Rhinolophus ferrumequinum: one gene and its partners. The protein of the gene in region 2 purifies or fractionates together with the protein of the main gene of each other region. This does not show direct contact. Links are inferred from orthologs where the notes say so. Each region holds a gene or a part of one and is shown on either strand. Other genes may lie near its edges. The genes, in order: CSNK2B, ZC3H4 and WDR82.

What was found.
Region 1: the proteins of ZC3H4 (region 2) and CSNK2B purify together in Homo sapiens (affinity purification with mass spectrometry; 3 studies listed by BioGRID and IntAct, with this or other methods). This does not show direct contact. The link is inferred for Rhinolophus ferrumequinum from reciprocal best matches to the Homo sapiens genes ZC3H4 and CSNK2B.
Region 3: the proteins of ZC3H4 (region 2) and WDR82 purify together in Homo sapiens (affinity purification with western blotting; 4 studies listed by BioGRID and IntAct, with this or other methods). This does not show direct contact. The link is inferred for Rhinolophus ferrumequinum from reciprocal best matches to the Homo sapiens genes ZC3H4 and WDR82.

Annotation. Positions count from the first base shown.
Region 1 is NC_046286.1:2,155,538-2,165,475, forward strand, and holds CSNK2B (casein kinase II subunit beta), read left to right. Parts: upstream 1-4,817; 5' UTR 4,818-5,050; exon of another isoform or gene 5,051-5,316; intron 5,317-5,503; exon of another isoform or gene 5,504-5,640; intron 5,641-5,837; exon of another isoform or gene 5,838-5,992; intron 5,993-6,239; 5' UTR 6,240-6,250; coding exon 6,251-6,322; intron 6,323-7,022; coding exon 7,023-7,125; intron 7,126-7,694; coding exon 7,695-7,810; intron 7,811-8,254; coding exon 8,255-8,330; intron 8,331-8,435; coding exon 8,436-8,625; intron 8,626-9,267; coding exon 9,268-9,358; 3' UTR 9,359-9,506; downstream 9,507-9,938. Other genes in the region: C3H6orf47 (uncharacterized protein C6orf47 homolog), read right to left, coding at 1-320; GPANK1 (G patch domain and ankyrin repeat-containing protein 1), read right to left, coding at 2,318-2,759, 3,280-3,890. UniProt on the Homo sapiens protein: Regulatory subunit of casein kinase II/CK2.
Region 2 is NC_046298.1:43,141,854-43,152,073, forward strand, and holds the start of ZC3H4 (zinc finger CCCH domain-containing protein 4), read right to left. Parts: upstream 4,597-10,220; 5' UTR 3,584-4,596; intron 3,039-3,583; exon of another isoform or gene 2,468-3,038; 5' UTR 2,463-2,467; coding exon 2,302-2,462; intron 2,204-2,301; exon of another isoform or gene 2,058-2,203; coding exon of another isoform or gene 2,044-2,057; intron 892-2,043; exon of another isoform or gene 868-891; coding exon of another isoform or gene 830-867; intron 1-829. UniProt on the Homo sapiens protein: RNA-binding protein that suppresses transcription of long non-coding RNAs (lncRNAs). LncRNAs are defined as transcripts more than 200 nucleotides that are not translated into protein.
Region 3 is NC_046300.1:47,899,168-47,909,535, reverse strand, and holds the start of WDR82 (WD repeat-containing protein 82), read left to right. Parts: upstream 1-6,358; 5' UTR 6,359-6,685; coding exon 6,686-6,846; intron 6,847-10,368. UniProt on the Homo sapiens protein: Regulatory component of the SET1/COMPASS complex implicated in the tethering of this complex to transcriptional start sites of active genes.

The DNA of each region.
Region 1 (9,938 bases), on a different chromosome or scaffold from region 2:
GCAGCCTCCAGTCTCCCAGACTCTTGAGGGCTAGAGCCAGTCTTGTCCCCCTTGAGGGAATCCATTCTTTTGCTCCCTAGTTGCTCAACTTGGGTCTCACTGCTTGGTACTGGAGCAGCCCCAGAGCTCCTCTGGGCCCCTGAGTCCTTGGTCTTGGGAGGCCCCACATCTCCCATGGTTTCTGGGGCACTGTCCCAGTCACTCCCTGAATTTTCGGAGGAGCTGTCCACCTGTCTGGGTTCTGGGGTGGGCAGGTCAGGCCTGGGTTTCCGGCGGCCCCAAGGGCGAGGTAGCCAGCCACCAAGCCGTCGCAGGAACATGGTTGGAGTGTGTAATGAGCCCCCAAATTTTGGGGCCGCTTCCCGGCACTGCTCAGGTTTGAGGGCTGAGGGTCTCCTCAGGTGCCAGAGTCTGTTCGGGCTCAGAAGAACAGGTCTGCTTGGCGAGTCCTACTTCGAATTCAGAAGTGGCTCCCCACTTCCCTGGATGGTCATACAGCCTCAAGTGGGGCAGGCAGCTTGTTTCCTTTTTCAGTTTTGAGGTAAAGAAAGGAGGCACATCCAAATTCACTCACTACCACCGCTCCCCACACACAAGATTCCAAGAGTCTCAAGATCTGACAAGGCCTGGGTCACCCGACAGTGTCCTCCCCGGGTTTCCGGGTTTCATTCCCAGCAAGCAACACCCCAAGTTTCACTCACCAAGGCCACGCCCCAAGATGCCCCAAAAACTGGGGAGGCGGTGCTGCATCCAAGAAGAAAGGTCGCCCCAGGTCCGAGGTGCTCCGGATCAGGGGAGTCCTGAACTGCTTCCCTAGGGGACCTCAGGAATAAGATGTCTCCTGTTGGGGGTTGTGGGGAGATGTCCAGCGAACTCTAGCCAGCAGCGTTCGTCCTGTGAGTTAGAAGGCTATGAATCCTACAAAGCGGCCGGACCCGCACCCGAGTACGCAGCCGAGACGCGCGGCCTCCGCAAGGTCAGGCCGGAGACGTCCTTCGAGACTCCAGTTGCGAGGCCAAGCGCGGGCCCGCCTGGGGGACCCAGGCGTCCGGGCTCTGTGTGCTGCCGCCCCTCCCGGGCCCAGCGTCAGGGCCTGGGCCTCGCCGAGTCGCCCCGAGCCGCAGAGCCCGGAAGCAGCTGCACCCGGACTGGAGGGCCAGGCGGGGCGGAGCCCGCAACTCGTGGGGCGGAGCCTGCGGACTGCCCGCCCCTCGCGCCCGTGCGCCGCCAGTACGCGCCGGGGAGCGCACCCCGTCTCTCTAGAGACCGCCAGGACCTCTAGAGACCCGGTCCTCTATATTCATCGCCCAGAGGCCCCCTGGACCGCCAGTGCGCCCCTGAACTCGCCCCGCCCCTTCAGTTCTTGGGTTCTTCCCCGCACCCCCCACCACTTGTCTTCCTGCCCGTGACTTCATAAATGGCTTTTCCGGAAAAGTAAACTATGAGAGGGGTTTGGGGGAATTGAGTAGCTGTTCCCTGCCCCTCCGTGCAGATTTTACTTCCTGGGTTTGACAGGTGAGCCCTTCATTTGTCTGGCACCTGGTATTAGCAGCACAAGAGATGAGGGAGAGGGGAGAATGGGAAAAGCTAGTGTGGATGAAAAGGATGTGCTTCCCGCCCTCCTGAGTTTTCAGGTAGTTAAATACAAGAACGTTGACTTCATTTTTGGGAGGCCCGAGCTCTGATCCCAGTTGGGCTAACGGAGTACATGCTGGGTAATCTCAGGCCCCCCCATCACACTGGCCTCTTCCTACACTACTACCTACCCCGTCTCATCACCTCCGAGCCTCCCCTTGTCACTGCGCACTGTTTGATCACATGGCTGTCTCCTCCACCAGCCGGGAGCAACTTGGAGGTTAGGACTGTCTTATTCCTATTCTTAGCGCGGTATATGAACTTGTGATTGAATTAGCTGGAGTAGTCAGAAGACCCTTCCTGGAGGTGAGACTCGCATAGAGCTGGGCAGTTCCTGGCTCAGGGTTGAAAGATAGGTGGGCCGCTCTAGAGGGGGCTAGGACCTGACAGTGAACCAGATTGGCAAGAAGGTGACCCTATCATGCCCCTGGAGGGGCTGCCCCTATTGCCTCAGGTGGGGCTTGCATGTGGCCCCCAGACTTGTTTGGCTTCCCGCAACAGCTTTCAGAAAAGTTAATAAAACACAAAAGAGTAAGAAGGTTGATTTATTTCTCAACTCTCACTCAGCTCCCCTCTCCCAAAGATAGGGCCTACTGACCAAAACCTGAGGGTCTGGGACCTGGACAGGTCAGAGGCTCAAGTTCAGACCTCAGCAGCAGACCAGGGTCAGACCTTGCCAAGGTCAGAACTCAAGGTTCATGTATGTCCTCAGATCCCGCTCCCAGGCTCTGTCCTTCTCCTCCTGCCTTCTCTCCTCCCTCCGGCTCAGTGTAGTCACCTGAGGGACTCTCTCCCTCCCAGCCACTGCTCGGGTATCCTGAGCCCGAAAGTGTGTAACTCGAGGTTGAGGTGCTGGTCTGTATCCTAATCCTTCCTGGTCCCTCTTGAGGACTGTGGGGATGGGGATAACACGGCCCTTGCCCTGGGGTCCCAGCCCCATTCCAGGCTCCCAACCCCCCCTCAGCAGTAGCTTGAAGCCTGGGCTGGATGTGGGGATCCCAAGGGACAGGTTGGGGGTCTGGCGATCCCGGGACAGTGACAGCAGGTGAGCAGTAGATGTGTGATGGTTAGAGTCTTGGAAGTGGGCATCACAGGTGTCACAGTACTGCGGGGAGGACTGGGACCTGCAGAGGACGAAGAGAAAGGGTGAGGGCAGGGTTGGACAGGGTCCTTCCAGTTTTTCTGCTAAGGAAAAAATTGCCTTCTGCCCCGCTTAGCAATGAAGGACCAGAGGGGAATAGTTGGGAGAAGAGATGGTAACTAGGCCTCATAAGGCTCTTGGGCAAAAAAGGAATAATGGCTATAGCTAATGTTTCCATAAAGCTTACTATATGGCAAGCAGTGTTCTAACACTTTACATGTATTAATGCATTTAATCCTAACAACCCTGAGAAAAGTGCTCTTTTCCCCATTTCTCAGATGAGGAAACTGAGGCACATAGACGTTAGGTTGCTTGCCCAAGTAGAGTTAGCATTTAATCCCAGAGAACTCATGTTCATAACCACTCTAGCACACTGCCTTCCCTGTCAACCTATACGGGGATGGGGGAGAACCCTTCAGCTCTGTGCTGAGGCCTCTGGTGTGGAGTGGCTAGGAAGGGCAGAACACACTGAAAGAAGGACATGGGCACAGGCGTCCCCTCACCGGTTCTCTGGACTCCTCATCTCTCCGTGGCTCTCTCTGACGGTGCGGGCCACTTCAGGGAAGCCCGCTTCTTCGGCCAGCTGAGCAGCATCCCTGCCACCCAGCTCGCAGACCCCAACCCAGGCAGCCCCTCGCTCTAAGAGATAGCGCACAGCCGCTCCCTGGCCTGCTCGGGCAGCACACATCAGGGGGGTCCACCAGAAGGCATCCCGAGCATTGATATTCCCCCCAGCTCCCCCTTCCTCATGGGGATCCAAGAGCCTTCTTAGTTCTGCCAGGTTCCCCTCCTGGGCTGCCCTCAGTATCCACTGAGTCATTCTGTCCTCAGCTTCAAGAGATCTCCTTTGTCCATGCCCTCCTGCTGCTCCTGCTGCAGCCTCCCTCCTCATTCTTCTCTTCTTCCGCTTTCTCTCACTGGCAGGCTCAGGCTGTGATCTCTGGGGTTCAGGGGCACTGCTCTCTTCCCCAATCAAAGCCTCATAGAAAGCCCGGGCTGCAGCCCCATCCAGGGTAGGCTCCAGCTCTTCAGGCTGTGCCTGCTGCTGCCCATCTTTCCAGAGGTCGCTGGGGTCGGTGGCCGGGGTGAAGGTGATGAGGGAGGGCCTGGGCATGGCTGTGGGAGAGCTGAGAAAATCAGACTAGGCAAGGGGAAGATGAAACATGCAAGCCAATCCCGTGGTGGCCCTGCAGTGACCACAGCCACCTCCAGAGACCTGCTGGGATGAGGGAAAGTAGCTTTAGATTAAAACAAACAAACAAAAACCCTCCCACCCCAAAAGTTACCTCACAACCTAGGACCCTACAGGGCCTAAGGATGATAAATCACGTGGAAACACGGAACCCTACAATAACAGACCATGCCCTTTAGTAAAGCTTAACAAAGACTCCATGGGACAGTTACGCAGAGGTCCTGCGTTCAGCCCCCTCCCCCAACCTCATCAACAATAAAGAATAAGTAATCTCTTTGAAACTACCGCTCTGTAAGGCATACCATTAAGAAAAACAATCAGTCTGGCCCTTTAGACTTTCCTTGATCCTATTTTGGGTATTATCTTCTCAAACAAAAACAGACTTGACACTTCTCCGGAAGCAGGAAGCACATTTGGGGGAAGGCTGCAACCTGCGTTGTCTTGTAGCTTTCGTACTGCAAAATGGCACCTCTATGCAAAGCAGTTCACAAGATCAAGTAGCCAGACGACTAGAAGACGCCTGAGTGGAAAAAAACCAAACTTTTACTTGAGGGCACAGGCTTACAGAAAGCACCAGGTTTCCCGCCTTGCAACCTTTCCAATAGTATTCGCGCAAAGTACCACGTGCCAGCATAGCACGAGGACCGAGGATCTGTCAGTTGGGGTCCTGCTTTTATATAACGCCCCACAATGCCCTTCGCCTCCCTCAACTTGGTCCCAGCTCTGAGCTCATTTTCTGGAGCTGGGAAACCACTCTCTGGGTTAAAAAAGGCCCTGAGGAGGCGGAGGGAAATCTATGGAATGCCCAGAGCTGTGAAATAACGTCACGCTGCCCCTCACCATTACTCCAATCAGGGTTCGAAGGTCACACTTAGCGCCCGCAGCAGAAGGCCTCATTCAAGCCCTAAGAGGAAATGGAGAACTGCAAGGGGACGAGCAGCAGAATAATGGCTAGCACCACCTCAGGTTAGCGCTGGGCCGACCCGACTCTCACACCGCTCCGCTCAGCCCAGCACATCCTACGCAGGTCCCTCAGCACGGAGGCCGGCCTCACCTCCTGCCTCAGGCGGCCGGACCCCCAGGTGAAACATGGGGCCCGTCGGGGGTCTCCAGTGGCGTGTCTGGTTCGGGCGACGGGCTGCCTGGGGATGAAGTCAGTCCCCTGGCCAGCAGGGGCGCGCCGGGGCCGAAGTCTCGTTCGCTGTGTGAGGGGAGCGGCAGGAAATCACCCAGCCACCTTCGTTCCTTACCCCGCCCCCTCGCGACCCCCGGGTTCCGCGATCACCCGACTATATTTTTCAAGCTCTCTGGCCCAGGACACGGTACAGGGCTTCCGCTTCCGGTGGAGCTTCGCTGCGCCCCGCCCCTAGCATCTTCCCCAGGGGCCTCGCGACACCAGGGTCGTGCGCAGGTCACCCTGGAATTCGTAGTTCGCCTTTCCCTCGTTTCGCCAGTTTCTCACCATCAGAGACTCTATCTCCCGGCGTCCATCGCGGCGCCCGACCCCTGGCGCTTGCGCGTTGCCCTCTTCCCCACCCTCTCCAATTTCCACTCCCCCCTGCCCACTTCGCCTGCCGCGATCCGGTCCGCGGCCTGCGCTGTAGCGGTCGTCGCCGTTCCTTGGAAGTAGCAACTCCCCTCCCCCACCCCGGTCCTGGCCCCCGTCCAGCCGGTGAGTCTGAGGTCGTCGCCGCGCTGAGTGCCCTGTCCCTGGGCACGGCACATGGGGGTCTCCGCGCTTCGATGTGTTTGGTGGAGAAGGAAGAGACCTGGTCCGGCACCCAGGGAGGAAGAGGTGGCCTGAGGGGCGGAGGAGGGATGTGGGGACTCCTGCGAAAGGGAGCTGAGGGCCACCTCCCCCCCTCCCAGGCCATGAGGAAAAGAGGGGCCCATCTCTTGCTTGGAAGGAATAAACTTCGGCACGCTTGGGAAATGCCCCGGAACATGTAGAGACCTGAGGGAGCACGGCCAGAGTTGACGTGAAGGAGAGAGGGGACTGGCCTTTGGGAGCGTCAGGGACGTGGGTAGGACTGGTGGGTCAAGACCCGTCGGTTTCTCGCAAGTGGCGGGACCCCAAAGAATTTCTCATCTCAGAAAAAAGGGGTTGAGCTGTGAATAAGAGGATGTGGGGCGAGGTCCCAGAGTCTGGGACGCCTTAAGGAAAGGTGGCCCCAAATTCTTCCGTGGTTGGAGAGCAAAGTGTGGGAGGAGGGAGGATACCAGAGGCAGGGAGGGAGAACGTGGGTTACACTTACACTCTTCTTTCTCCAGCTGACGTGAAGATGAGCAGCTCAGAGGAGGTGTCCTGGATTTCCTGGTTCTGTGGGCTCCGTGGCAATGAATTCTTCTGTGAAGTGAGTTCTCTTCAATCTCCCTACCTTTCTCCACATGTAGTCTGGCCAGAGATTCTCCCACGTATTCAGCTTCTGCGCACTCGTCTCGCATGCTTGCATAGAAACGTTTTCCTGTCAAGGAAGAGTGCCCTCAGTAACCCACCACTAATTTGTGGTGAAATAGTAAGACTGGGGCCCAACTCCCACCCCTGCCACCCGCCAGCAGTATAACGTTGCACAAGTTAGTCTGTCTGTTTTATTACTAGAGGGGTATTGGTAATATCTATTTCTGGGGACTGGTAGGAGAATTAAAACGCCGCGTTGTAAAATGTTTCGTAGCATTTAACATAATGTGTTTCAACGTAAGGGATGTAACTGCCTTCAGAACCCATGCTTTTCAACCCCTACCTTTCTCCGCCATCTGCCCCTAAGGAGAGAACAAAACTGGTTCCTAGAGGGAGGAGCAGGAGTAGGGACAGGTATCTTGAAGGGGAAGCCTCTCTAAGGAAGGGAGTGCTGTACATGCTTATCCTTAGAAAAGAAAAGCCAAAGCTTCTATGGACGGCAGTGTAGGTAAACTGGGGAGAGAGACTCAAGTGCTTCTGCTGAGTTGGGAACAGAAGCAGCTGTCTTGAGGATAAGGCACCAGTTAGAACGACTTGCTCAGGTCAATGCCAAGGACTGTGCCATGGGTTCCCTCTTGACCTCTGCATCCTGACAGGTGGATGAAGACTACATCCAGGACAAGTTCAATCTCACTGGGCTCAATGAGCAGGTGCCTCACTATCGACAAGCTCTAGATATGATCTTGGACCTGGAGCCTGGTGAGTCACCTCAGGGTTGTTTTGTGTGTGTATGTGCTTTTTTTCTCTTCATATCGCTATTCATCTGCTTCTTGAATTTCTAAACTTCCTTTTTGTTGTCTGATTCCCTTAACCCAAAATCCCCTACTTCGTTTTGATTGCCCCTCCTGATTCTTGCCTAGTTTTGTGACTGATACCACTTGTCCCCGCGTTCTGATGCTATAACTCAGCTATATTCCATAATGCATTTCCCCAGGGTTCTCATTTTCCGCTTCTTTATCCTACCTTGCACTTTCCAGCTATAGTTACATCTTCTGCATTGATGTCTTTGCATTTGTGTGTTGAGGAGGGAATTGGGAAGGAGAGAAGAGAGCAGAGGCTGGGAAGGTGTGGAGAGAAGGTAGAGCTACCTTGGGTTAGTGGAAGCGTCAGAGGCCCGGGTTTCTGGGTCAGGTGCCCACATGATAGGTGGGGAGAGACTCAAAGGTGGGTGTACTGAAAACTGAGTAGCCAGCAGCCCCCGGGGATGGGCAGGGCACCCAAGAAAGCTGTAAGACGAGTGGTTGCATTCAGCCGGGGCCCTGTTTCAGATGAAGAGCTGGAAGACAACCCCAACCAGAGTGACCTGATTGAACAGGCAGCCGAGATGCTTTATGGATTGATCCACGCCCGCTATATCCTTACCAACCGTGGCATCGCCCAGATGGTGAGGCCTCTCTACTCCTACTTGATTCCTGAGGCAGTAAGGGAAACAGGGGTTCCTGCAGCAAGAAACCACATGTTTCAACCTTGTCAAGGAGTCTAGCTGAGAAGAGGACAATGACCTCAGAACCTGGGCCTGGAATTTAATCCTGATTGGGGGTTGTTCTGAAGGGGGTGTTTTCAGGGAGGGGAACGTAACCTTGGACAGAGAATTGTTAGAGACTGTCTCTTTCTCGGGGAACAAACAGCAAATGGCTCTGATAGTCTGCAGCCTGCCTAAGTGGAGGAAAGGAAGCAGAGAGTCACATGGCCGGTCTGGGCCAGAGAAGGGGCCTCTGGACAGAAGGAGATAGGAACGGGGCACAGAGTGATATGGATTGGGCAGAGGAGGGGATTGCCTCTTCTCTTCACACCTACCCACCAGTCTTTTCCATTTTATTCACCTCAGTTGGAAAAATACCAGCAGGGAGACTTTGGCTACTGTCCCCGTGTGTACTGTGAGAACCAGCCAATGCTCCCCATCGGTAAGTGTTGGAGAAGGGGAAGGAGGGCAGCAGATGGCAGGTCCTCTGGAAAGGAGGTTGGGCAAGGTGGGAGAGCCTGGCGTGCTGAGCCTGGCTATCTCCCAGGCCTGTCAGACATCCCAGGTGAGGCCATGGTGAAGCTCTACTGCCCCAAGTGCATGGACGTGTACACACCCAAGTCATCGAGGCACCACCACACGGACGGCGCCTACTTTGGCACTGGTTTCCCTCACATGCTCTTCATGGTACACCCGGAATACCGGCCCAAGCGGCCCGCCAACCAGTTTGTGCCCAGGTGGGGAGCACGGCAGAATCACCAGGGGTCACAGGACAGGCCCAGACCCCCCCATAGAGAAGGGAAGAGGGGGCAAGGTCCTTTCTTGAGCTCTGCTTCTCCCAAAGCCAGGGCTCTCCCTGCTGAGGGACCCTGCCCTGGGGAAGTTCTTTGATTGCCTACGCCTCAGTCTCCAGATCTGTAAAATGGGGGTGATAATAGTACCTACCTGGCAGGGTATTTTTAAATATGTGAAGTGCTTAGGATAACGTTTGGCACTTGAAGCACCATTGAAACAGTGGCTGTTCTTACACCGTCTTGGTGTTCGTCCTTGGCCAGGACATCTCAGAGCCACATTTCAGGTGTGTCTTATCTTCCCTAGAGCATTGTTTTTCCCCTGGCGTGGGGAAGGAAAGTTCAGTTTTACATTGAAACAAGTACTGATACAGACATCTGTGCACATACATACATAGCCTAGACTTGAGTTTTAATGGATGTTTAAGGTACATTCCCAAATATTCTGGAGGGGAGGAGTTTGGGAACCACTACCCTTCAGCACTGAGCAGGCTCGTGGACGAGCTGGGGTGGGGAGCAGGGATGCAGGCTGCTGGCAGGGTCGCGTGGGGCTCACTCTGCTGCCTCTTGACCTCTGCCCTGGTCCAGGCTCTACGGTTTCAAGATCCATCCGATGGCCTACCAGCTGCAGCTCCAAGCCGCCAGCAACTTCAAGAGCCCAGTCAAGACGATTCGCTGATCCCCTTCCCACCTGTCCCTGAGTGTCCTCAGTCTTTGACACCTCCATTCCTTTGCTGCCACCCTTTCAGGAACCCTCCATGGTTTTTAGTTTAAATTAAAGGAGCCATTATTGTGGTGGGAATATGAAATAAAGTGGAAGAAAAGGCCATGAGCTGGTCTGGTGCTTGGGGTTGGGGAAGGGAGGGTAGTGGTGTGCTGGACGCCAGGGGTCCTCATGGCCTAGTCCACCCTCCCCAAGTTGAAAACCAGCACAGATTTGTGCCCTGTGGATTTGGGTGATGGTGTTAGTAGCAGAGCAGAATTCCTAGGACTGGGTATGCGGGTGTGCAGTCACAAGGAAAAGACCCAGAGAAAAATGAGATTTCAAAGACTAGAGAAATGCTTGTTCTTTTGGGACTGCTTACGGCTGTCTGTTTATACTGTAAAGGGAAATAACACTATCTTTCGGTTTTGGTTTTACAGGGAAAGGGGTTCAAAAACAATTATAAGGGGTGGAGAAAGGAGGGAAGAGGTCCAGAATTGCTGTTCCATGGTGTTGTGCGGCCCCTGCTGGGGAAACTGAGACATGCTCAGCTCAG
Region 2 (10,220 bases):
AGTTTACAGATTTGGTGCTTAAACAGTACTTTACAAATGACTTGCTTAATTTAAGCGTCCATCACCATAAGACACATTGGAGTAAAATGAGAAAATTGGATCTACTTGAACCACAATCTTTTTTGGGGAGTAAGGGCTGAGGGAGGGAGGGGGAGCACATTAACTTGACTGCAAGTATCATAAACCAAATTCAGTAAACTTGTCTCCTACAAATGGACTTGAAATACCCACTTTCTTCAAAGGTGAAGGCTGGAGACAATGCAATGGATTGAAATGACAAGAGGGATACCAAGGGCTTGAAAATATAGGGCCTTTTACGTAAGTTTTTGTCATGTTACAGTAACACACTATTTTTGGGAGAAAACTGTGTACATCAAATTTTACAAATTAAACATTGAAAGGATGTGCAAGTCTAAAAGGGCTCAACAGGGTTAGAATCCTGATTTGAACATATAAACTCACTCTCTCAAGCATCACTTTGGTCTAAAGGTGAGGAGGAAGGCAGGCAGGAAAGGGACAAAAAGAGGGAGATAATTGAATTACTCAATAAAAGAGGCTACTTACCATCCCAACCCATTGTAAGACATACACTTCTGACATAAGAGAACTCCTTAGAGGTCGAATAAAGCGTGTAAGCACCTTTGAGTAATGCACCTGCCCCCAAGAGGGGGCCCGGAAGCCCAACGTGGGCTTAGCGAACAGACCTTTGCTAATCTGTTTATTTCCTTGAACTGGAGTCAGGCTGCGATGGGCTGCGATTCCCAGGACGATACATTTAATTAGAACAAAACAGAACAAAACAAAAAAAAAATTTTTTGTAAAAGCTCACCAAACTGCTGCACTTGTGTCTCTGAATGTGGGTGGCATTTCTTTTAAAAGGCAAAGTATGGTCTGTGAAGGAGAAAGGGAGAAGGGGAGGTGGGAGTGGGGAGAAGGGGCAGTGGCGCCTGGCAGGGAAGCCCTAGCCAAGCCCCTGTCTAGAGGAAGGTCCTCAACGACTCCCCAGCCGGGACTGCGCTCCCGGCAGCCCTAGCCTGTGTCCAGCGCGTTCTTTCCTTCCCCACCCCCACTCCTCCAAGACTCGCTTTCCTGTCGGCAGAAACCCTCCTTCCATTTCCAAATCCACTACCTCCCTCTTCTCCTGCCCCACCAGGAAAGGGTGGGCGAACCCTGCACCCCAACCTTGTGCTGGAGCTGGGGAAACGGGGGCCCCAACCTCGTCCTGAAACGCGCGGAGTTGGCCCCTTTATCATCCTCCAAAGAAGGGCGTGGGGCGAACCCATTTCGCACTTAATAAACGGGAGGGGGGGCACTCCCTTTCACCCCCTGCCAAAGCACGCAAACCTCGTTTTCTCTCCCGGAAGGGATGGCGCCCCATTTCAGCCCCGAAGAGGAGAGAACCCCAGGAGAAAGAGGGGACCAACCTCCTCTCCCCTTCAAGGCAAGGAAACCTCTCCCGCCGCCCCCCCTAAAAAAACGCACCACCTACCTAAGAAAATCGAGAGGACCCCTCCCTTTAAGTAAAGACATGGGGAAGGGTCTTCCCCCCCCAAAAGAGGCAGGGGTTTCCATCAAAGGCTAGAGATCCCCCCATCTTTTTTGCCTTCTAGGGAACACCTAGTAAACGCCTCCCGCAAAAAAAAAAAAAAAGGCGCAAGAGAGCCCCCACCCAAAGGACCCCCCAGTAGGAGGATGGAGAAAGGACTGAACAGACCCCCACTTCCTACCTCCTAAGAAAGCTAGGGTACCTCTCCAAATAGGGCAGGGCAGACCTCCCCCAGGAGAAAGGATACTGCCGGGGTTTGGGAGACCCCCAACTCCAAACCCCTAAGAGCGGGGCTGTTGCTCGAGATCCCCCTAAAAAGGGTCCGGGGCCCCTCCCCCATCCCTTTCCCCGAAGCCAGGCGACGGGCAGGCGGGCCCGTGGCTGCCAGCTCCGGGCGCAGGGCAGCCAGGACCCCCGTGGGCCTCCGCAGCCCCCCCCGGCGCCCCCTTCCCAGGGCGGGCAGGCGGGCGCGGGGGGTCCGGGGGGCGCCTCCTCACCTTCCCCTCAGCATGGCGCCCAAAAAAGACAGAGCGAGAGCGAGGGAGAGCGGGCGAGCGCGGCGAGGGGGGGGGAACGCATGAGGCCAGGAGAGAAAGCAAGCGAGAAAGAGCGAGCGAGAGACACCCACCGACCCCGCCCTTCCTCCTCCTCCTCCTCCTCCCCGGCCCGGCCCAACATGGCGGCCGCCCCCCTTCCTCCTCCTCCTCCTCTTCCTCCCCCCGGGGACGCTGCCCCGGCCGGGCCGGGGGCCTGACCTGTCGTCAGGGAGCGGGAGGCGGTGGTGGAGGAGGTGCGGGGTGGCCGGGCAGGCGTCGGGGGAACACGGAGGAGGCGAAGGCGTTGATGGCGGCGGCGGCGATGGCGGCGGCGGCGACTCTGATGGCGGCGGCGGGGGGGTCCCGGGCGCGGCCTCCATAGTTCCTTTGGGGGGGAGGGGATGTTAATGCACGAAAAAGGACTGCTTGGGCGTGGCGGGAGGGGCACACTTCAGCTCTGATGGCTCCTGATAGGAATGAGTATATATTTTTTTCGGTTTCGGAATCACCTCTGTGCCGACCTCCGCGTAGGCCGCGCGGCCTAGGCCTCGGCGGGCCTCTCGCCGCCTGCTTTCTCCGCAGCCCGCCCCGAGGGTCACTCGCTCACGGGCGCAGGGCCCTCATCGGGGCGAGAGCCCCCCCCACACGCACCCCCGCGGGCCCGGGAGTGGGAGACCCGGGGGACACGGACACTGGTGGCTGGTTGGGTGTAATTAGCGCGGGCCGCGCGCGGTGGAGCAAGCGAGAGGGAAGGGGGAAGAGGAGAGCGAGCGAGGGGGGTTTAAAAAAAAAAAAAAAGGATTTTAGGGAGAGAGAAACGGGCGGCGGAGACCGGCCGACTGTCTGTCTGTCTGCCCGCCCTGGGCGCCCCGGCTGCCCGGTCCCCGCCGCAGTCAGAAATTCACACAAAATGGCGGCGCGGCCCGGACGGGCTGGGAAGCTGAGGCGGGAGGAAGGGCGAGGTGGGAGGGGGAACTCGGAGGCGGAGGCCGCGTCACGTGGAGGAGAGGGGTACTGACCACTCGCCCGAAGGGCGGCGGAAAGACTCGAAGGGAGAAATGAGGCCGGGGAAAGCGGAAAATGCCGAAAGGAGCTGAGCAGGAGACGGGGAGGGGCGGAAAGAGCCGAAGATGGTGCTGGGGGTGAGGCTAGAGGAAAAACGGGAGGTCCCAAGGAGCCGGAAATAGCCGAAGCGGATCGGCACTGGGAAACAAGGCACTGAAGCGGTCCGGAAGGATCCGAAAGTGGCGTCGGTGTAGGTGGCAGGAGGCGGAAACAGCCGAATGAGGCCGCGCGGGGGTAATGGGATTTAGAAGGAAGGAGCCAAAAGGCAGGCTAGGAAGGGAGATTAATTAACGGAGTAAACTATTTTGAGGAATTCGCCCGAGAGCAAGCGGGAGGAACCGAAAATTACTAGCTTGAGGGAAGGCGGAAAGAATCGAAAGTTTTAGGTGGGAGAATGGGAGGGAAGAAATTCGGGCTACGGAGAGAAAAAAATAACCTAAAGCCGGAGGCACGTGTGCTGGAGTTGTAGGCTTCCGGAGAATGGGAGGATGGAGCGGAGTAGAGCCGACCCGGAGATGATGTCATTAGAGATCTCGGTCGGTGACGTCATCACTGGGCGGTGCAGGAAGGGCGGGCCTTGGTAGTGCTTTGGTGAAGTTTTAAGAACCTGGTGTGTAGTAGGTGAAGGCTCTCCAATGCTGAACTTGGAAACGCTGACCGGCTTCAAACAGTAGAAGAACGTAAAATCCTTGACCCTCACAAGTATACTCAGGGGAGCTACTATTCCCATTTAATGGATAGACTGAACCTCGGTACTTAAGTAATTGGCTCAAGGATTAGCCATAAGCAGCACAGCGAAATCTTTAATAAGAACTGGCATTCCTAGCGGTTGTCTATGGACCTCTGGTAAACCTCAATAGGAGGCATGCACCCTGAGTTTTATAAAAAGTCATGACCTCTTGTTCTGAAAATTAGCTTTTGGCTTATTCATAGGTTCTACGAAGACCCAATGACTGGCCACAGAATCCCAGGTGATGGTGTATTATCAGATGACACACCAAGTGATGAAGTGGGCAGGCTCAGCATAACTTCATCATCACTTGGAAATGGTATCTTGGTACTAAAGTCAAACAGGTAGTGGGACATCCAATGTCCCACTTCCCAGCCACTGGTGGCAGACTAATTCCCCAATTTGCTTTCATTGGAATAAGCATTTATTGAGTATTGGTGTTATTTTTTCTGCCCTCATCTGTCCTATTTCTATCAACATTACCATCCCTGGACTTTATTTACTATCTGTTTTCACCGTATAATTTTTTAAAAGTTAAAAACAAGACCATCACACAAAAACATTGTGAGTATGCATCAAAGATGTTATTTAACGCATTAATGAGAGAACAAGCAGAAAAATAAAGCTGGTTCAAGGGAGGGCCTTGAGAGATGGGTATGCATAGACAATGGAAAAATGAATGCTGCAATTAGGTTGGGAAGATTGATACAAAACTGGTCAGTGTCTCTCAGGGTTGTGTTTTCTGCCAGACAAAAATCATTTGAAACTTGAGAATCTTCCATAACTTTACCAAGTCTATATACCCTAATCAACAATTACATAGTAAGTCAGACAAAGTAACTACTAGATGTCAGAAAGTCTTGGTAGACATTATGCTAGTATGGCACTGAAAAAGCATGGAGAAATATTCTTGTCTGCTGGGATTTGCTAGTCTTTTCATTTCCCTCATTACCTAAAAGCAGGTGCTCTCTAGGCTTCTGGAATGGACTCTTGAAGCTTCAGAGATGGCGCCTGCTGAAAACCACACCTGGAAAGGACAATGTTCTCAACCAGTGTTGTTTTGTCCATAGCTAGAATACACGGAGTTCAGAAATCAACGTATGGAAGGACATCTTTCACAATTACACATAATGACCCACTTAGAGTAATTTTCCTTTCTATTCCCATAATCCTGCTCCACTAGCTCTTGGTATGTTAAACACACCTTTTTTGGACAATTTTCTTATGAGCATGTGTCAACATTTTATTAGAGTCATGGCACACGAAAGGAAAAAAGGTCTCTTGTGGGCCAATTAAAAGATTTGCTCTTGGTAGGGACATTTTATTTGACAAGAAAAAAATTCTGAGATGTCCTAAATTAAATTAAGCGGGCTGGAAGTTGGAAGGAAGACATAAGAGAGGTTAATCAGTTAACAACTGCAGGGCAAAAACCAACGAAAGACTGCTTACATTCCTGATTGTACTAATGTACGTTGAAACTTTGAATTAACCTCCTGGTAGCTATTTCTGAGATTATCTAGAGAGAGAATAGTCAAGGCAGCTGGTGTCTGCCAGTTGGAGAATTGCTTGGTATGGGAGTAGAGTGACAGAATAGAGAAGACACACAGGAGTTCCCTGAGAACCACTTTGGAAAATAGACTGGCCGTGTCAAATACAGCTGAATATATGCCTCCACTATGATTCAACAATTGCCCCCAAAAGTATATGTCCCACAGAAATGCAACCCAAAAGTTGTGAACAAGAATGTTCACAGCAGCACTATTTGAAATAGCCCCTAACTGGGAACTACCTAAATGCTCATCAATAGGAGAAAGACAAGTAAATTGTAGGATATGCACCACTTCTAAGAACCCCTGGATCACTGAATTAGAAGACCCAAATGGCAGAGTCCTTTGTACTACGTCTTGTACCAGCTAGAAAACCTCTTCTTGCACGGGGCCCCAGCAGCCTTAGAGCTTTCTTTGCTGATGAGTGAGAGCAAGTCTCCCAACTATGATCCAAGTTGCCTCCAAAATTCCTCCAAGAGAGCCACCAAACATTGTTGTGTTTGTTTTGTTTTGTTTTTTTAGTGTGTTGGGCGGGGGTGGCTTAGGTGCAAGTTTCAGCAACTTGCCCTTTATATTGGAAAGAAAAAAATGCCAACATACCTCTTCCTCTGGATCTCCAAAATGTCTTTGAGCTGGCAGGTCCTTGTACTTTTCTGAGAGGGAAACTTCTGTAATACCCATAAGTCTGACCAATGGTTCCGTGGTGCCTGTTTCTTTGTACTCTTGGAACGTTATTAATCTGGCAAAGGACTTTATTTTTATAGTTCCTAGGATGGCTCTAAGGTGGGTTCTTTGTGCCATGGTAAACAGTCCTTCACAGAGAAGACACTCTTCAAAGTGTGGAAGAAAAACAAGCTGCTGACTCCAACCTCTGGAAACCCCTGGGGAAAAAAGGAGACCGTTGGCCAAAGAGAGGTATTATGGTGTTTTGGATCCTGTTGACTACCAACTCAATAACTATTTCCCCTTTCTTCCTTGCTAATTTAACCCTGTTTTTATTGGGAAGATGGGAAATAATAAAGTCCATGCTCCGAGATGATCTTTGATCGGTCTATCTGGTTCTTAAGAGGTGATGTCGCCCCCTACAGGACACTATTGAAATTATTGAGGGAAATTAATTTTGGTTGTCAACTGATTCTCAAGGAGACAGTATTGCTCCTTGGGGGCATTTTGGAAATTTGAGGGGAGTTTTTTGGGCATTACAATAATGAGTGAGCTGTTACTGGCACTAAAGGACAGGGACCATGGATGATAGAAAGTCCTGCAACATGACATTGGTATTGAATGATCACCTAATGAACGAAGTTAATGTTAGTTCTTAAATAATGGAAAGAACTATTTATAGTAAGTTATATTAAGCTGCAATGCTGAATTTTTCCAGTTCTTTTGGAATTGTGAGCACAGAGAGTCACGGTAGACTCTTGGGAATGTACAAGACGTATATCACTACTTTTGTATAATGAAAATGTTTTGGAATAGATAGAGGTGGCGGTTGCACAACATGGTGAGTGTACTAAATGCCACTGAATTGTTCACTTTGAAATGATTAATTTCATGTTACATGAATTTCACCTCAATGAAAAATGTTTAAAAACATATATACCCCCCAACTTGAGAATATTTTCCCTGTAAGTTTTGTACAAGTGTAAGGAGGAAGAAAGAAAGGGGACACTTTAGATGTTTAATGAGTCTAGAAGTGCAGGAGAAAATAATTTATAGAGCAGTTAGCTTTATTTTCAGGGCTCTTTTTCACAAAGTGATCATTTTACAAGAGTTACTGCATCCTCCCAGGTAATGGCTTAGTCACTCCCTAACCAATTACAAATGACTACGTGCCAAGGATCTTCAGGGTCACTTTCAAGATCAGTCTGTTAACTAATAAATCATTTAACACCATGGATCTATTTTAACTCTTCAAAATAGTTTGACTCCTCTTATTTTTCTTTTTATAATTCCTGTACATTTCATTTTAATAATACAAAGCAACTCAGCAAAAGTGTTTATTTCCAAAGTCTTATCTACAAGATACTTGATATGGCCCTCTATTGCCTGGTCATTCCATGATTTCTAAACATCTTTTCCCCACAGAGAGGTTATTTGATCCTGTTATTGGCCTTTTCCTCTGAAATCAGAAAGTATCACAGCATAGTGCAACAGCTTTGGATTCAGAACTTTGAAATGGATTCAGAACTTTAAAATGAGGGTTTAAAAAAACTTTTTATTGTGGAATATTTAAACATATACAAAAATAGAGGAAGGAGTAAAATGAAAAAAACATCACCCAACTTCAGTGATTATAAACTCATAGCCAGGCTCAGTTCCTTACTCCCACCCACTGACCACCCCCCAATTCTGCTAGATTGAATCCAAATCCTAGAGTTATCCCATTTAGCTAGCTAGCTCCCCACATATACACTCATACCTTTATTAGGTTAAATAGTGTTTCCCTCCCTGCAAATTCATGGCCTTCCTAGAACCTCAGAATGTGACCTTACATAGAAATAGGACCATTGACGATATAACTAATTAAATTAGATGAAGTCACACTGAAGTAGGGTGGACCCTTAATCCAATATGGCATCATAAGAAGGATCCATCCTAATACTTTCATCTTTATTTGACCTTCCAAGTAAGGTCACATTCATAGGTAGCAGGGATTAGGACTTGAACATATTTTTTGGGAGGACACAATTCTTCTACCCATAACACCTTTTATAGATGAAAAATCCATCAATTTATAATTAAATATTTTAGATTTATTATTGGTATTATAATTTTATTAAAACCTATTAGTTTTATCACTTGATTCCCTTAAGTTCCTACTCTAACCAGTGTCTACAGACTGACTTAGAAAGTGTGATTGCAAGTTGTACAGAGCCATAAGAAATATTCAGAGCTTAGTTGAATGTCTTAAATAGCCCTAAGAGTTAAATGGTCCGAACAGGAAAAGACTAGAATGAGCAGCACACAGATCTTTGTTCTATGGTTCTCCCCCGACTGCATTTTAGAATCATCTGGGGAGCATTTTGTAAAAATCCGAATGTCTCAGCTCCACCCAGACCAATTAATCAGAGTCTCTGGAGGAGGGACCAGGGCACCATATTTGCTGAAAAGCTCTCTAGGTAATTCTAATCTTCAGGTGGGATTGAGAACCAGTGACTTGGTTAATGGTGAGCAGGCACCTGGGTGCAGCTAATTAATTATGTAATCCTTAAACCCAGGAGCCTGATCTACTACATAACTGCTCTCCACCCCTTTTAAGTTACAAAGTTTCACTTTGGGCAGCTGTTCTAATTAGATGTTGTTGAAAAACTAACTGCCCCATGGGTAAATAAATACCTAGGAGAACTGAATGCAGGGTCTCAAAGAGACACTGCTATACCCATCTTCATAGCAGCATTATTCATCATCGTCAAAAAGCCCCAAGTGAGGGGGTCCCAATAAGACCCAAGTGTCTTATTGATAGATGAGTGGATAAACAAAATGAGGTATATACTTACAATGGAATATATGCAGCCTTAAAGAGGAAGGCAATTCTGACACATGCTACACGTAGATGACACTTGTGGACATTATGCTAAGTGAATGAAATAAGCCAGTCACAAAAAGACAAATATTGTATGATTTCACTTATGTAAAATATCTAGAATAGGCAATCTCATAGAAACAGAAGTAAAATGGTGATTGCCAGGGGCTGGATGGAGAGAGAAAAGGGAAGGTGTTTTCTTTTTCGTTCTTTTTTTTCTTCAGTAATGGGTAAGATAGTACATTTTATGTTATGCGTATTTTACCACAATTTAAAAAATGCTCTGAAATTTAGTGGCTTGAAGCAGCAATCATTTCCCTTTTTTCCTATAATCTTTTAAAATTTTCATTAAATTTATTGGGGGAACATTGGTTAATAACATTACATACATTTTGGATGTATAACTTTATAACATGACATCTCTATACTGTATTGTGTACTTACTACCTGAAGAGTAGTCTCCTTCTATCACCATGTATTTGACCCCCTCATTTCGTTATCTTTCACAGTACCTGTGGGTCAGGAAGGCTTGGCTGTCTGATTCTGGCCTGGGATTTCTGTGGTTGCATACCACGTGTCTAGAAATGGAATAGTGGAAGGCTTGAAAGCTGGGGGCTGAGTTGGCATCTCTTTCTCTTTGTGTAATTTCAGGGCTTCTCCATGTGGTTTCTGCTCATGGGTTGGGCTTCCTCTCAACCTGCAGTCTCAGGGTAATGGGACTGCTTATCTGATTTATCAGGGCTCAAACTCAAGTGTTCCCATGCACAGGGTGAAAGTGACCTCCCCTTTCCTGATTTAGCTTGGCAGTAAAGCAATGTCCCTTCTGCCACATTCTATTGGTCAGTCACCAAAGCCAGAATAGTTTCAAGGGAAATGAACGTCCCTCAATGGGAGCAGTGTCAAAGGGATGTTGCAAAAAGGGCATGTAGGGGTGGCCAGATGGCTCAGTTGGTTAGAGAAGAGCTGTGCTCTTAACAACAAAGTTGCCAGTTGGATCCCCACAGGGGCCACTGTGAGATGCGCCCTCACAACTAGATTGAAACAATTACTTAACTTGGAGCTAATAGGTCCTGGAAAAACATACTTAAACAAATAAAAGTTTGTGGGGTTTTTTTGTTTTTTTTAAAGAGCATGTAGGTTGAGAGACACTGTTGTAGCCATCTTTGCAAAATGCAATCAGCCATAGGGAAGGTCAAAAGAATTAAGTAAATCCCCTTGTTGCCATAATTATTTCCTTAGTTGGCATCATTTTACCCTGGGAATATTTGGA
Region 3 (10,368 bases), on a different chromosome or scaffold from region 2:
TGACTGCAATCTTTCCCTTCCATCCACTCCCTCCACTGGAGCCAGCCTTTCTGGGTTACTTTTTAAAGTCCAGCCTTTAAGGCACTGTTGGACTGGAAGCTAGGAGTCTCACTATAACAGGGCAGGGAGCCAGGTTAGGAATGTGAAACAGAGAGAATGTGAAACAGGCTGAATCATTTCAGGACACTCTTAAAATATGAAAAAATGACTTTTTCCATTCCAAAAATAATTCAGGAAGTCAAGTCTTGGAAGAGAGCTTTGGTCTTACTAGTAAAATCTGGGAAAGTTACAGGAAGTACAAAACATGAAAGATACCCTGCAAAGATTTCTTTTGGCTGAAAACATTCAGTAGGTTATGGCTGTTTCTGTGGTTATTTTTTAGGTTAAAAGGGTCCAAAATACGGTATCTCACTGGGTGTTTCACTTTCCAACATTTCCAGGACACGGTACCCTCTGTCCTTGTTGCCGTCTAACTATTCAAAGCAGCCTTTCTAGCTTGTAAATTAAAAAAGCAGGAATTGCAGGGAAGTGAGTGTTCTGGAAAGTTGCCATCCACTTGGGTTTCACTCAGGCTTTTTCCAAACCCCAGAACAAATTGTAGCCAGAAGCTCTGCTCTTTGTCAGCAGGCAAATTGCAACCCAGACTTAGCCAGGATCTTGCCCTCTCCCCTCAGAGGACAACTTTTCTTTTTAAAAAAAATTTTTATAAGAGCTTATTTGAGTCAAACTGACGACATATGCCAGGGAGTGAGATCTCAAATGCTCCAGAGAATAAGTTTTGCAGCTTTTTTTTATACATTTGAAATTAAGGAGGGAATGCAAGGAAGATTACATGGAGTTGGGGGAAAAAGCAAGGCAGGGATTGGATTACAGGACAGTTAACAAGATTATGTGCTCTCTTGAGGGTGGTTATAGCTTATTTTAAAGATGTGTTAACCTAAATGCACAAAAACAATGGACAGAGCTTGCTTAAGGCAAAGAGAATACTTTAACTAAAAAGTTATATGCCTGGGGCGTGACTACCTCCCACGACCTGACCAGTTAGGAATTTATGATCAGATCACCCTGTGAGGTTACTTTCCATAGAACCCCTTATTTTTCATCCATTTTGATCATAAATCAATCTGAAGGACGCATTGATGACCAACCTTTTGGTCGGATAGTGTGGTCTCACAGTGCTAGGAAGTCTCATTCCTAGGAGTTCTCTGTATTGAGTTTGTCTTGACCACTGGGGATGGGGCAATACTGTAACCATAGGATCTGAGCTGAATTTTCCCCAAACAGGAAGGGCAGGTAAATGGAAGGCAGTCAGGTCTTATGGCCTTTATTATGAAGCACTGTATCATTTCTATCCAGTGAACTATCATGATCTGAGGTTTGCCTCTGTCTCATTTTTCTGTTTTTGGCATCTACTATAATAACATTTATATAAGCCATAAAAAGAATATTAACAAGTTACCTTATACATGTTTAGTAATCATAAACATTGTACTATATAGAAAAACCCAAAGAATAAGTCTAACTATTATTATGACTAATATCATTAGCAGACAAGTAAAGACAATCAAACAAAATGGATTCTGAGTTTAGGATCAATCCATAGGTATAAGCTATCCCATGTCTTCTGGATAGCTTTCTATCTCTGATGTCATCAACTTCTCACCCTAGAGGAAGGAGTTTTTGATGTTTGTAGACAGGGGTAGATGTCCATTCATAGTTATAGGGTCTCCAGTGAGGTTGGAAAGTGTCTTTTATTTGGTGTCCTTTCCAATAAACAATATCTAAAGACATGTCTCCTGTGAGTTCGCTGTGAAGGAAGTGGTTACCAACTTGACATTTTCTTGAGTGACTCTGTCAGACCTTGGTAATAGTGTAAGATGTCTCCTTTCAATTATGTCAGCTCATAATTCCTTCATCTAAATCCAGCTTCAGTCCACTGTGATGCATGAAGAAATGTAAAAACTGAAAAATGTAGAGCCAAGGTACAGGGAAGAACCAAGTGGCCATCTCAGGTTTCCCAAAGCCCTGATTAATCATTTAATTTACAGGCTTTGTTTACCCATACACTATACTCTAGAAGTTTACCTACATATATTGAGATTTTTAACCCTTAAAAACTTAATGTCTAATAAAAACTAAGAAGTAATCAATTAGCATTCTTTAGCTTGGACATTTTATAATCTCTAGAAATATTTTTCACAGACATAAAGGTCAATTATTAACATGGACATGTTTTTGTAAAACCCAGGCAAAATAGAGACATGTCTGTTTTTCTTAAACCAATAAACTTAAGCTAGCTTTTATTCACTAATAATTAATGTTAGATCATGTGAACTTGAAAATCATATGAGTTAGTTTCTATATTTCTGAGAATTTTAGATACCCAATTCTTATAAGTGCTTGCCTTTAAATTAATTTAAACAATACCATCTGGAGGTAGAAAATTATCTCTCATTTATAACATACATATATAGACATATACAAACAGACACAAACAGAGACTAGTTGGATACAATTTTTGTTTTGGAGGTATTTACAATTTACAATTTACAATGACCTTCCCCCTTTTAAAAGACAGCCATTTTGAATACTTCAAAGAATTGGGTTGACACCAAAACGACATCATGGGTTAACCCATTTTTCTAAATTCTCTTTTTGAAGCTTTGAGAGACCAATTAAATTCTGCTTAATTTTGTAGCTGGCTTTTTCTAATTGTGTTCACAAAAGATTAATTTAGAAGTATCAAAAGATCCTCATCTTGGCCATCTTAGTTATAAATAGGAGGCTAACTGTGGTGGGCCGTGTTGGCCTGGGAGGCATGATTTTGCATATTAATGTTGAGATCTGTAGAATCTGAACAAACTTCTAGGGAAAACCAGCCCTTCCATGCACATCTGCAGATAAGCCACATGCCATAGATATCCCTATAGGACTGCTTCACGCCCTAGAGGAAAATTTTCCTTAGACAACCCCATGGAGATTCTTAGTCACCTAAGAATACCTGTGCAAGGGCCAGTGAGAGCTTAGCAGATGCCACCAGAACCCTGATGCTTTCCTAGGCATGAACCCCTCTCCTGGGCCTCTCTCTTGGGATGCACTTGTTCCAGGGTGCCCTTTTCTTCTCCCTGGGGCTCCTCCCAGCTTCTCTGCGATTATCTATAGTACCGTACCGCACTGGATGACTCAGGAACCCCTCTCTACCACTCCAGATTTGGGGATCTGAACAACTATCATCATCCCATTGGCTATTCCGGTTGGGGAAGCAAGTGTCCTTTCTCTCGGAGCTAGACAGTTCAGTCTCTCATTTACCCAGCAAGATTTTGTCACAGACTCTCAGTAAGCAATCTAATTAAAAAGTCGAGATTAAAAGCAGCAACTCACTTTTCTCCTTTCCCTGGGTTATCTCAACCCTTATCCACCTCTAAGAATTTCTAAGAACAGCTCAAATAAAGTAGTGGCCTGCTCCTTAAAGCAAGGAAGCCCACAATTCTGAGAGAAACTCACCCAAGTTCACCAGAAGTGAAGCAGGGAACTGGTGGGCACAATGGGCCCTAGCTAGGGTCCACAGAGTGATTCTGGGTGGGCTTCTTTGGAATCCTGCCATACTGTGCCAAGTAAGTGTTGATGTAAAGAAATGTCCAAATCTGTAGAGAATTTTTATAAGAAAGAGTTTATTTGAGCCAAATTGACAACATATGCCAGGGAGCAAGATCTCAAATGCTTCCAATAACTTGTTTTTATGTGTAGGGATCTTTACCTTTTCTTTACCCAGAGGATGGGACACAGCCTTAGTTCTTTCTGGAGGGACCCCACCTGTCCCAGGGTTTTTGTTTTGTTTTTAGCATTGTCCAGATTATATCTGGATCTCTGGATAGCACATCTTCATAATATCAGTGATTAAAATGTTTCACAGTCTTTCCTCTTTATTTTTCTTCCTCTTTAGCCACTGCAATTTAGTGAAACAAAGTAAATAGGCTCCATCTCCATTGTTGGAGGTCCCAGGCCATTAAACTTTTGAGAAGCTGCAGCACAAGTTAGAGATCTATGAACTCTCATGGGTTGCACCGAGTTTAACTCCTTGCACAGAAGGTTAAAGCCAGGGTTCGTGGTACCTATTTTGTGATTAGATATCGCTTTCTTTTGTTAGGGATCAACTTTCCTTCCTTTAAGGCAAATAAATCCCTTCTTAGGAACCATTGAAACAATTTCGTTGACTACAAAGAGGGTAATGAAACTGTTCTATACCTTGAATGTGGTAGTGATTGCACAACTGTATATGACTGTTAGAACTATTGATTAAAAAGGCCAATTTTTACTCTACATAAATTATACCTCGAACATGGAAAAATGTGGTCTATACAATACTAAAAAAGGGGAAAGTGGTTTATGTAGATATATAAATAAGGAGGGAGAACTCAGGAGAATTTAAAACTGTATTTTGTTGAATGAGGAGACAATTCTCCCTCTTAAAAATTTCTTTGTAATTGATGCTGAATTTTGGAGCTGTAAATACATTTGAAAACTTAGATGAGTGTTTATAAAAATGTGTGGAACACTTAAAATTTGTTCACTGTATGCACTTTATGTTATGTATCAATTAAAATTTTAAAAGAAGGCTTGAAGTTCTGCCTGGTGGTCACATCGGTGTACAAGGTGTGATTAAAAAATACAGTGAAGGTTTATTTTTTAAAATATTTTTAAAAGTTCTTTTTCTTTTTATTTATTTTTTGAATGTTTAAATTTAAAAAATTTATTATGGTAAAAGACATTGCCATTACTCCTCCTCAAAATACTCTCCCTTACTTCGAACACACTTATCCCATCATTCTTGCATTTTCTGAAGCAGTTCTGGAAGTCCTCTTTCGTGACTGTCTTTAGTTGCGCTGTCGTGGCTGCCTCGATGGACTGAATTGATTAAAAAATGTTTTCCTTTCATGGTCATCTTGACTTTGGGGAAGAGCCAGAAGTTGTACAGTGCCAGATCCGGTGAATAAGGTGGATGAGGACACACTGCAATGTTTTTGACAGAAATTGCCGTATACCAGAAGCGATGTGTGACATGGAGTGTTGTCATGATGGACAATGAAGTAAAGACACTCAGGAATAAGGACTTCCAGAACTGTTTCAGAAAGTGGCAAGAACGATGGGATCAGTGTATTCGAAGTGAGGGTGGTTATTTTGAGGGGGACTAATGGCAATGTGTCTTTTACTGTAATACATTTTTTTATTTAAATATTCACCATATCTTTTAATTACACCACATATATCCAAATGAAAAAAATTCATCCACTAAAAATTTTTGCTGTCTACTGTATATTATATACCAATAAAAAATACAGAAATTGAAAGTATGTTGACTCTGTCATGATGTGTAGAGCATTATGACTCTGATAGTTGTCAGTCACAAAGTGACAGTCATGCCAGAGCGTCACATGAAAGGTGTACCCAGTGAAGGCCCTAACCAGATAACTCCAGATGCAGGATGGAGTGTGACCACCTGGACCATTTTATCTGACTGCAGATAGCTTTATTGGACTGCAGATGGGTGCACTGCACCCAGTCTTGAGCATAAAAACAGAGGCTCTCTGACAGCTCATCGCTCAGGCCTTAACAGCTGACAGCTTCATCTGCACTCCTCCCAGATAGACCGTTTGAAGTCTTCGCTCCTGACCATCTCACAAGCCCGGCCTGACGCGGAGGCTCTGCACTTCAGCACCGCAGGGACTCTCACTGAGCAGGACTCTTCCTCATCCTTCTTTTGTAAGACTCTGTTCACCTCGCCTAACCTTATTGTTTGCAAACCAGTGTGACCCTCTTTTGTGAAATCACCCTACCTTTACTATTGGAGGCTATCCTTTGGCTAGAGCCTTGGTTAATGCCCGTGGTAAACCGACTAGGTAGGATTAGATCCATGACTAGATCCATTCTAATAAAGCCTGACATTGTGGGGAGACACAAACTGATATGAGACTGCTACTTTGATAGTCACCTCCCGCTCAGGACATGTGGATTTGCGGCGAAAGCCTGCCTGCTTGCCAGCTGATGGGTTCACTGACTGACCCCTGGAGGGGCTTGGCGGATCCCCGCAGGACCTGCTTCCTGGTAAAATGCGGATGGGGCCTCTGCAGAGGACGCGCCCGAGTCTCCAGTGGGGCTGCTAACCGCACAAAGGCCCACGGCTCCCAGGCACCAGCGGTCTTCCCGCCCACGGAGGAGGTCGTGGACATCCCCACCCCCCTCCTCCCCACAGCCAGCGGCCATCCCGCCACTGCACTCCACGCCGCCGTGCTGACGTCATCGCCCCGCCTCCCCGCCTCGCGCCGCCGTTCCCGCTCCGCCCTCTTTCCCGGCTTGCGCCGCGATGCGGCTCCTCGCCCTAGGCTCCTGCTTGTCGCCCCAAGATGGCGGACACAATGAGCGGGCGTCGCTTGGGTTGTCCCTGAGGCGACTGTGAGGAGGATCGGTAGGCAAGGCCTCGCAGTCAGGCAGAAGAACATTGCACGAGCCGTAGGAGGGAGAGGAGGAGGCGGCCTGATTGTCGGCCGCCTTCCAGCTCGTCGCCGGCGCGGCGCCCGCCCCGCCCGGGTGGGCCCTTCGGCAGCCCGCCCGTTCGTTCGCCCGCCCGTTCGCCGCGGGGCCCCGCCCCAGCCCTGCTCCGCCGCTGCTGCTGCCAGCAGCTGCCGCCATGAAGCTGACCGACAGCGTGCTGCGGAGCTTCCGCGTCGCCAAGGTGTTCCGCGAGAACTCGGACAAGATTAACTGCTTCGACTTCAGCCCGAACGGCGAGACGGTCATCTCGAGCAGCGACGACGACTCCATCGTGCTCTATGACTGCCAGGAGGGCAAGTGAGTGCGGCGGTGGCCCAGGGCCCGGGTCTGAGTCCCTCCCTCCCTCTCGTGGTTCGCCCCGCGGCCAGCTCCCCTCCCCGACTCCGGCCCCCCGCCGATTTTGTGCTCGCTCCTGCCAAGGCCGCTTCCACTCTTCCACTCCAGAGATGTCCAGGAGACCTTTTTTTTTTAAAAAAAAAAAAAACAAACAACTAATGATAGCATTAATATTTTGTGTGTCTTTGGTCTCTGAGAGCACTTCTGCATCTTTTGCCCAACTCCACCTTGACCTTGACCTTTAAGCGCCCGACCCGCCCACCCTGGCCCCAGCTGGTAGCTTTTCCACCGCTCGGACTCCAAAAGGTGCGGATCGGCTTTGCCCTCCGCGGAGAACCTCAGAGGCTGCTCTCCTGCTTCATCAAACGGCGTCAGCTTGCTCTCTGTGCCTTCTCCTCGGTGACCTCGATTCAGCCCTGGCACTCCGCCCAACCCCTGCCCCTTTGCTTCCCGCGGTCTTTCTGCCGGAAGGCCGCGTGGGTTGCAGTTCTTAGCTGTCAGGATTTATTTGTTGTGCCTCTTTGGGTCCCGTGTCCTTTCCTTTCTGTTTCAAATCATGCTCTTCCTCCCTCAGACCCATTGCCCACGCTTATTGTGAACTTTGTAGCAACATCTGAAACTTTTCCTTTTTGCCAGACACGACCGAACTTGGCTCGACCTGAATGTGAACCTCCCATTAGAACAAAGAAAGCATCGTATAACAATTTCATGTTTCCTCTTATGTTTAAAGAAAAAAAAACACTTTAATTCCAAGTCTAGTCTGACCGTGAAATTTCTGCGTTGCCCCAAGTGCTGGATACCCACCACACCTGCATCTCTGCAAAATCTTACAAGCACAGTATTTTCCCTTTTCCCCTGGGGACCATGTCAGCTTCACCTCACACTTACTGCCTCCACGTCCTTGCTAAATTGTGAGCTCCTTCGGAGCAGAAGCTGGATTAAGCTAAATTTTATTTCCTCTCAGTCACCTTCCCCGAACAGGTTTGCAGATGTTTGATGTAACTCGGTGGCTACTGGTTTTGTCAGATTTCATTTTGTTGCCTTGATCCACATCTTATTTTTGGAATCTGGGTTTTTCTCTACTTTCTCCAGTTCTTTTGCCTGAAAAACAAAAAACAAAACTGGTGTCTTCTGTAAACTTCTTTTGGGACTTGTCTCTTCGTTTGTAAGTTTGGTTATCCAAAGTAATGCTGTTTTGGTCTGAGCTATAGTGTTCTCCCCAGTTTTTCCCCCACTGGGGCTATGAAAGAGTATTACGTAACTGGCTCTGCATCTGCCTGCAGTATGTGGAAGAATGGCCCATAGTGGTGGTCCTGGGGGGAGAGAGGGTTGTCAGCTGGACCTATGCTGAGTTATTTGAGTTAGTGTTACTCATTTAGTATTTGGATTTCCTTGTCTGGCCACTTGAATCAGCTTGGAAGAGAGAATAAGGTACAAAGCTGGGGGTGCGGGGTCGTTGTGGGGTCCTGGAGCTAGAAGTAACTTGAAGCTGGCTTACTTGAAATGTTTAGTGCTTGTGCACAGATTGGAACCTTTCCCTGAAATCTGAGGATGGAGGTGTATATCCTCATTCAAAGGAAATAAAGGTGGTGATAGCATTTCTTCATAGTTTGTCTCCTAATTTCAACTTGTTGCAAGGGATGACAGTGACTTGAAGTCCTGTCTTGTTAAAAGTAAAATGTTAATTTTATGATATAATGCAGTTTATTCACTTACATAGCATTTTTACATAATTACAAACTTAAGAGTTACAGCAGTGTTTCAAAGAACTCCCATATGATCCAGTAATTGGCTACATTGCCCCCTTTGACTTTTTCTCTATATATGTATTTATATGTATGCATTTTTTTTCTGAACCATTAGAGAGTAGATTGGATGTATCAAGCCCCTTTATCCCTAAACACAGATTCCGGTGACATGGTTTTCCTAAACACATAAGGACATTCTCTTATATAACCAGAGCACAGTTATGCAAATTAGGAAATTTAATATTGATAAAATAGTATAGGGCATGCTTTTAAAATTTTTTTCTTATCAATTGTGGACTTGTTTCATTGTGATCTGTGATGGGAGAGTGGTTTGGTAGGAGACCTGAGTTCTAGTTTGTCCTTGTGACCAGGTACCGTGTTTCCCTGAAAATAAGACCTACCCAGACAATCAGCTCTAATGCGACTTTTGGAGCAAAAATTAATATAAGGCCTGGTATTGTATTATATTAAATTATATTATACCCGGTGTGTTATAGTAAAATAAGACCAGGTCTTATATTAATTTTTGCTCCAAAAGTCGCATTAGAGCTGATTGTCTGGCTAGGTCTTATTTTCCGGGAAACACGGTATGTCACTGGTCAGATCACTTCTCTGGATATTAGATGACCTCTTTTAGCCTTTAGGAGTCCATGATCCTAAATGGTAATAAGAAAACATTTGCCACTAGTGTAGGTCAAACTAACATTGGAAGAAAAGTAATGTTGCCTTGTAAGGCATAATACCTTTATTAGATGGTACTAATGTTAACATTATATTATAGCTAAAACAATGTTCTTTATGCTTGATATTTTCTAATTTACTGTTCATTTAAACTTATAATGGAGTTTATCCATTGAGTGATTTTTTTTCAACTTGAAAGAATATGAATCTGTGGTAGGTGATGTGAATTATTCAAAGGAAGGCTTTAATATTATTTATTTATTCATAATTGATCACCAGAATCATAATAAGTGGAGAGAAGCTTACCAAAATATTTGTGAAAAAATGTTCCTGGGCTTTGTAAAGATCACCTGAAATGGACGTAATACATTAGGATATTGCTTTCAAAGTAGGAAATGATAAGAGGTAAAATATTTCTGTTAAGAACAAATCTCAGGTTAGTGTTATTGATAAATTCGAGACAAATAGGCCACAGAAAAATTTTCCCTTACTCCACACGCTTTAACGTTGGCTCTTTAGGCTCTGTTTTCATAGTTGTAGATAGACTGAAATACTGGGATAAGTAAGCTTTTCTTTCCACCGGTAGAGGCAAAGTCAGCTTATCTTTTGAGAGCAAGAACATGTGCACATGCTCATACTCACTCCCTCCTTCCCTCCCTCACTCACTGGTTAGTTTTACTACACAGTAACCCCAATGCGGAACCTGGGACAGTGGACTAAACAAGGTAGCCTTTGAGCTGATCTTTCTAGCTGATTTTTCAGTATGGTAAGGATGTGGAACATTCAGTGCATTTGGAAGGAGAAGTCTTGTTTGGAAATAAGTTTTATGTAGGGAAACCCTTAGCCTCACTGACATTAACAAAAATTGAAACTGCAAACGATTGACTTCATAAAGCTGCCTGAGGCATCTATCTCATTGTTTAGCATCTAGGTTCCAAGAGGATTTTGCATTGACAGGGTGAACGTCTTTTTCATAAATTGGAATTCTTGGTAAACATTGGTACAGGATTTATGAAATCCTCCTACGCTGAAATGTAGAACATTGTAAGTTTTT